Linked DNA regions of Arabidopsis thaliana. The protein of the gene in region 2 interacts with the protein of the main gene of each other region in a pairwise test. Each region holds a gene or a part of one and is shown on either strand. Other genes may lie near its edges.

The links.
Region 1: the proteins of UMAMIT32 (region 2) and MEKK3 interact in a protein complementation assay, tested with the Arabidopsis thaliana proteins (one large-scale study listed by BioGRID).

Annotation. Positions count from the first base shown.
Region 1 is NC_003075.7:5,385,489-5,389,422, reverse strand, and holds the start of MEKK3 (MAPK/ERK kinase kinase 3), read left to right. Parts: upstream 1-2,162; 5' UTR 2,163-2,384; coding exon 2,385-2,851; intron 2,852-2,959; coding exon 2,960-3,214; intron 3,215-3,577; coding exon 3,578-3,823; intron 3,824-3,921; coding exon 3,922-3,934. Other genes in the region: MAPKKK9 (mitogen-activated protein kinase kinase kinase 9), read left to right, coding at 1-68, 167-239, 343-402, 736-849, 964-1,170.
Region 2 is NC_003074.8:11,954,411-11,958,344, reverse strand, and holds the start of UMAMIT32 (nodulin MtN21 /EamA-like transporter family protein), read right to left. Parts: upstream 1,813-3,934; 5' UTR 1,720-1,812; coding exon 1,532-1,719; intron 1,251-1,531; coding exon 1,188-1,250; intron 1,093-1,187; coding exon 976-1,092; intron 891-975; coding exon 488-890; coding exon of another isoform or gene 416-487; exon of another isoform or gene 378-415; intron 235-377; coding exon 83-234; intron 1-82.

The DNA.
Region 1 (3,934 bases), on a different chromosome or scaffold from region 2:
ATCTCCTTGTACACAAAACAAATCCTTGACGGTTTGAAATATCTTCACCATAAAGGTTTCATTCACAGGTTAGACTAGTAAACTCTCTTGTCACAGCTGTAATTCCCAAGCCTCTGATTTCCTGCACATCCTAGGTTACTTACTTTTCTCATCTGATGCGACAAAGGGACATTAAATGTGCAACTATATTGGTGGACGCCAATGGCACCGTCAAACTTGCAGATTTTGGATTGGCAAAGGTTCTTTTCCAATAATAGATGTTTATAGCTTTTACTCTAACTTAATTACTTGGTCCATCGTTTATCCCCCTTACTCAATATATATGTCATTTTTTTCATTTAGGTGTCAAAGTTAAACGACATTAAGTCCCGCAAGGAAACTCTATTTTGGATGGCTCCAGAGGTATACTTCGGGATCCTTCCTCCTGTTTTGATTGTTGTGAATACAATGACAAACATATCATATATCAATAGCAATGATGGATGTTATACTGTTGCTTATATATGTTGTTGCAACCGTTGTGATATGGGCTTGATAGCCTCAAAAACCCCCGATTATGTTTCCTTCATAGTTTGATTAAATTTCCTTTATTTCTGTTTATAACTGTAAGTATGTTTGTGTAATTATACGTAACAGATATATTTGAATTCCTTCCACTTTCATTGTAGTTTAGGCTATACTTGATCAGGTTATATGTTACAGTTTTTCCTAAATGGAACATAATAATTTGATCAGGTTATTAACCGGAAGGATAATGATGGTTACAGAAGTCCAGCTGATATATGGAGCCTCGGGTGCACTGTGCTGGAAATGTGTACTGGTCAGATCCCATACTCTGATCTAGAACCCGTAAGTCTTCAGGATTTTCAAACTTTTGAACTGTCTTATAATCTTAAACGACATTGAAGGGTCTACTTAATGGGATTTTATGAGTTAAAGGTCAGAATTTGTGCAAACGCGCAGGTTGAAGCCCTGTTTAGGATCAGAAGGGGTACGCTTCCGGAAGTACCTGATACTTTATCACTAGACGCTCGGCATTTCATACTTAAGTGTCTCAAATTGAACCCGGAAGAGCGTCCAACTGCAACTGAGCTACTGAACCATCCATTTGTGAGAAGGCCCTTACCATCCTCAGGCTCAGGATCAACATCTCCGCTAATCCGTAGATGAATCTAATTTTATTAGATTGCCTCCATAGGTGAAGCCTCTAGTTTCGTTTTATTGAGAATATATTAGGATCAAACGCTATATTCTAACATTGATATCTTAATGTATGAGAGCAGGGGTAACCAGAAGGTTTATGAGATATTAGACCCCATAGAAACTTTAGGGGAGACACGAGATATGATTCTTTGATACATATGCTGTTTTGGTTGCGCAGCAAGAGCTAAACTTTCTCGAGACATATCTTCAGGTAGTTTCTGTCTCATTCATTGGTTGGTTGTTGTAAGTTGTGTCACTTGTGTGTGTTGAGCTTATATTTAAAACTGAAGAGCCTTGGTTAAATTAGAGTTTTGGGTGCATAGGTTTGTTTAGTTTTGTTAAATTATAGTATCATGTAATGTATAAGAAGAACCTTAGTTGATTTAGAGTTTCGGGTGTATAGGCTTGTTTGGTTTTGATAAATTATATAGTGTATGCATGTAACCCATATCATGTAATGTGTAATTATAGTTGGCTCTTATATAGTTCCTGCTTGTTGCAACTGTTTACACATCTCATGTCTCGATGGATTTAATCTCCAATTTTTCTTATATATATATCTGAATTATACATGCATACATACACTATAATTTAACAAAACTAAACTTTTCTTTTGGGTGCAAAAACATAACCTATATTCATCTCTTAATTATTTTACGCTGAAGAAATCTGCTGTTTCAATTAAAAAAGTATGGTCAAACCAACATTTTCTTTGAAATTTTGGTGAAAGCCACTCTCATTGAAGTGTATATATGATTCAACTTGTTTCTTACAATATTTGCCCCGTTGAAAACTTTTTTGCCATCGATGAGTTTCTTTAAGGGCAAAGTTCCTTTAAGAAATGCTTTTAGATTTCTTTGTATACCTATGAATTTTTAATCAAGTGATGAAGACACGGAGAAAAATCCTAAATTGATGCTAAATATTTTATCTGTGGACTTAACCAAGTCTCCCACAAAAATAATACAAGAATCTGCAACAATTTTTAAAATTCAGTATTCAATTATTATTCAGATACTATTACTAGATTGAAAATTCAACTCTTGTCATAAGTCGTCGTCAACTTCTTTTGTTTGCTTCTTCCTTTTTCTCTAACAGGTGCAGTGTTACTGCCAGTTGTTTGGATATTTCCACTTGTGTATTTATTCTCTCTATCTCTTTGACGTCGTCTACAGACTACAATGGACGTAACTGCTATCTTCGCCGGTGATATTTTGGTGCAATCCAGAGAGTATCTTATCCCTAATGATGTTGTGGATGTTGATGGTGGTATTAAAGCGGTAAGACCACCAATAATTCAGCCCCCTCCGGGAAGAAAACTACCTCTTATTGACTTTCCAGGATCATCGTGGGATTTCCTTACGTATTTTGCTCCAAGTAAAACAGTTAAGCGGCAGAGTTCCTCCTCTTCTGATAATACCTCTGATAAAGAGGAAGTTGAAACGGAAGAGACGCGAGGTATGTTTGTCCAGTTGGGGGATACGGCTCATGAGGCATGCCCATTCGCTACAAACGAGGCTGACTCCTCCAGTACAGTATCCATTATTTCGCCGAGTTATGCCTCTAGAGGTTCTATCGTCCCTTCTTGGCTGAAGAGGAAATTTCTGGGACGAGTATCATTAGGTTTTGTGTATGAAGGCAGTTCAGGGTAAGTGCTAATATCTGTAGCATTATCTCATTGCTATATCTTTTATTTTCTATGGGAGATTGCACTACTTAGTCAGCTTCAGCATCATAATATCATGTCTTCTTCTAGTTCCTCCGTTGGTTCCGAGTCGACTTGTTCCTTGATGACGCCTTCTCTGGAGTTCCCGGATCGCATCAGTTTCCGGAAAAAGGATTTCAGTGAAAAAGGTCCTAGTCGACACGTTTGGGAAAAGCGTAAATTGACGCGTGCCAAGTTGATTGAAAATTTTTGCAATCCGGAGGACATTGAACCAGTCACATCTTGGCTGAAGGGTCAACTTCTAGGAGAAGAATCATTTGCCTCTGTGTATGAAGCCATTTCAGAGTAAGTCTTACTGGTTGCTTATGTTTGTTGAACTTAAAATTAGATACTTAGTTTATAGGAAAATAAACTTTAAATTGGGAAATGTGATGCAGTGCGAGAGTTTTTCTTTGTGTGTTTTGTTGATGCTTTTTGATGGATGTTTATGTTATCCTTTAGATCAAATTATACACTCTTTAGTTGGGAAGAAAAGAACAACATGCCTATTTACAATAAGATGTTTAATGAGTTGAAAAATACGGTGCAAAGCGACTTTTATGGTTGCATTACCATTGTGGCATTATCTCATTGTCTTCTCTTTCATTTTTTATGGGAGATTGCATTACTTAGTCAGCTTCAGCGTCATTATATCATGTCTTTTTCTAGTTCCTCTGTTGGTTCCGAGTCGACTTGTTCCTTGATGACGCCTTCTATGGAGTTCCCGGATCGCATCAGTTTCCGAAAAAGGGATTTCAGCGAAGAAGGTCCTAGTGGACGTGTTAAGGAAAAGCGTAAATTGATGCGTAACAAGTTGATTGAGAATTTTCGTAAGCCTGAGGATATCACGTCTTGGCTGAAGGGTCAACTTCTAGGACGAGGATCATATGCCTCTGTGTATGAAGCCATTTCAGAGTAAGTCTTACTGGTTGCTTACGTTTGTTGACCTTAAAGTAAGATACTTGGTTGAGCCAACATATGCTTTTTTGGCTGGTGGTTTATGTTAAATGTAGAGATGGGGACTTC
Region 2 (3,934 bases):
TATTTATTTGTTTTAGTTGAAGTTGTTAGATATTTTAAACATAGTAAATGATATAAATAAGTAGAAAGAAACATTAGGTTACCTTCCACAGTATATTTGCTCATGAAGGAAAGAGAAGCTGAAAATGGCAGCAAAGACTTGAATCAAAGGTATGAAGCTCGACGTGAACACCGCACCTCTTTGGCGGAGACACCACGACATTCCCACGTAGCACAATCCCGATCCAACGATACCCTACACCAGTGGTGGATTCGGAAACTAAATTTATCGAAGAAGAAAAGATAGCAAAAAAGATAGATATGGGACATGAAAAAAGTTGAACTCAAGTCATTGGGGGACAAGAAAGAAAATATCCATGTCAAATGCAAACATAAATAGTTTTTTGTTTCTTTTTTTCTTTGTTTACAAATTACAACTAAAATAAAATTTTATATATGTTGACATATAGATCTTGTAGGTTGATTAAATAGTATATTGGATTACTCACCGAATAAAGTAAAGCTAAAACTTGGAACTTGTCTTTAACGACCCACATAGATGTGCTCCTCTCCGAGATCAAACTCAACAAAGCAGATTGAATCACGCCAAAGAAAGAGAGGATCGTGGTACTCGTGTATTGGCACGGATAAACTCGGCTTATTTTAGCTTGAACAATGAACCAAGATGACCATATTATGATCGATATAACCAGCATGATCGAACCCATTGCCCACTTTTGTGTCATTGCACCGGTGGAATCAGTTCTTGTATGTGTTTCCATATGAGTACTGTGTTCTCGACTTAAAGCGGTTCCTTTATAAAGCGTAAGCACTAAAGCTCCACAAATACATATCATTGTGCCTAGCAGTTTGGCTCTTCCTACGTTGCTCTTGATGTTCAGCGTCTCTTGCCTAATCGTATAGTTTATAAATAATTTTGATAATACTAGAGCATATATATGAAGAATCCAAATGTGTTTGATCGATTTTTCAATACCTAAAGACGAGAGCCAAGGCAAATGTAACCGAAGGAACCATGTTGCTAAACGCTAAGGAAAAAGTTGAAGATGTATACTCTAGTCCAATAAGAAAGAAGTATTGCACCAAACTTGTCCTGCAAATATATGAACGATCAAGATCAAAATAAACAACTCAAAACTTATTTGTAAACATTTATTATAAGTGAACAGTCTAATAAAATGAACATACCCCAGAAGAGCGCTAAAGAAGAGTGAACACAAGATCCTACCCGTGAGTTTTGGCCTGTTATGTCTACAAAAAGAGAGAAACAAAAAAAGAACAAATTATTTTCCTTACAAAATCTTTCATATGGAATACGAATATATAATAACATATTCACAGGAGAAAAGAGTTTGAAAACAACATTCAACTAGAAACTTGTATAAACAAGACATCCACTTATAATTTAAACCAAAAATTCAAGTATAACTTAAACTTTCAAAACGAAGAAGACAAGTAACTAGATATACATATACAAACACAAACCTTTTCATCTATATGATATTTGCAGTTTAGCAAAAACAAACACAAACCTTTCCAAGAAAATCGCGAATGGTATCAAGAACAGAGTTCCTACAGCAAGTCGGTAAGTGGTCGCGACCATACGGTTAAGTCCTTCATCAATCATCTTCTTGAACATAACGTTTACAACACTTAAACCAATGTTGATCATGGACATCATAAGCACAGCCTTCCATAGTTTTGTATCAAACTTTACCATGATTTATGATTATAAGTATATCAATATATGTGTGTGTGTGTGAGTGTATATTTATATATGTATTTACTTGTCTTTTGGTTTTTTTCTTTTTTTTCAGAAGTTGGTAAGATAGAAAGAATTTGATGAGGGTGTGACTATATATTGTGACTCAAGTAATGCTCAGAATCGTATCATTATCGCATTTGTCTTTAACTAATAGTATAGTGCTTTGAACTTGGCTTTTTCTTGTTATTGTTGATTACACTATACATGACCGTAAAAATAGATAGAGAGAGAGAGAGAGAGTTAAGTAATGGAAGCTCTCATGACTTCCATCATCACAAAGTGACATCATACACAGACATTAATTAGATCAATCTAAGACTATATATTAATTAATAACATTAGAGCTACATGAACAAGTAGATTGGTCAGTCAGTATAATTATTAACGCTTAAACTAGTAAGCTTGATCTCTTTTTTTCTCTTAATATTTATGTACCCCACATTGGGATACTCCGTACAAAGTGAAAGACATACCATTTATATAATTAAGAAAATAACGAGTTCAAATGATTTATGCAAATTTGAAAAAACTATGCTTACTCTTTTTATATTGAAATTTACCAGCACACCCTTTATTATTTAAGTATTAATTGAATAAATTATTAAAAGAAATATAAATTATAGAACGTTAAATTAAATAAGTAATTGATTTATCATGAATAAAAAATAAGAAAAATTATTTACTATGTTTAGATAAACCAGGATCGAGAATAGTGAATAGATAAAAATATAAAATTATTATTAATGGAATTGTGATAGCAGAAAATCTTAAATAAACGACTCATAAAATCTATACCTATTGCACATGCTCTGAATGGGTATCGACTGTCATGTCATCGATACACAAAAGGGGTATATTTCATGAGATTTTTAGATTGTAGTTTGATCTGTATTTATTTGACATGAAGGTTTATTTTGCAAAACAAATTTATATTGAGAGTTTTTTTTCCATAAAACCCTTATGTTTTTAAACAGAGTTATTGAGTGCCACGTTATCGATATACATGAAGGCTGTATTGCGGATGACTTTAGAGATGATGGGGTTGACTTGCATAACTCGGATTTGGAGGGTAAACTTGCAAACGAGATTGACTTGAAAGGTTCTTTTGCAGAAAACCCATTATAATTTATCCATGAGTTTTGTAATATGGATGTATAAGCATGTTATATTACCTTGAGATTACTTATAACTGCCTTTGTCGCAATATATTGATGGTTTGTTATAAGGTTTTTTTTTTTTATAGTTTCTATGCATAACTATTAATTTGATATTTTATGACTATTTGAATTCTGCCGTATTTTTTCTATTGGTTGAATTTTTATCATGATAAAATGTTTATTATTTCTTAAAAAAATCTATATAAAATGGGATAAAGTGAGTCTTACTTAGGGCGTGTAAAATATTAGTACAGTATCTTCGTTCAATTAAACAGCATGTTAAATTACACCCACCATGATAATCGAGAAATAATCAAAAATGTCCTTGTCATTTACTTTAATCCTAATCGTCTCTCTGACCATTTATCCAATTAACCATGCAATATAGCTCTCATGGAATCCTAATAAAAACAAATATCTAATCAGGCGATGCGTAAGAAGTATATATACTATCAAGTATCAACACGCACGTTTTAATTAGTTTCACTTTCTTTAGAGCCGTAATTTGGAATAAGTATGTTAATCAACATGAAGTAGTAGTCAGCAAAGTGAAGATTATTGAAAGTTGGCGTGTTTGGCTCAAAAAGAACCATATTTGATACAAGATTCTCAATAAAAAGTAGAGATCTGATCAGACAATAAGAAGCATCTATACTTTGTTTCTTCGTGAAATATTTATACATATCATGTATAATATATATAAATAAAGATTTGACAAGAGATATCAAATTTTAAAATGGAGGTAAGCATAATGCGTCAAATCCTGTCGCAAAATGGGATGCTTAATGCTTAGCTCTAAGTATCTTTCATTTGTTTATTATGATTCGGTTCCTTTACGTTTCTTGCCATGTAAAATGAATAGTATCCCAATTTTTTTGTGGAAACTATAACAACAAACTCTTTTTTAGGTCATGGATCAAATTTTGCGAACGTGTTATTATCAAACCATTTTTATTTTGCTAGTCAAAATTGTATTTTATTATATTTTTATTAAAAAATTAGGTGAGTGAAAT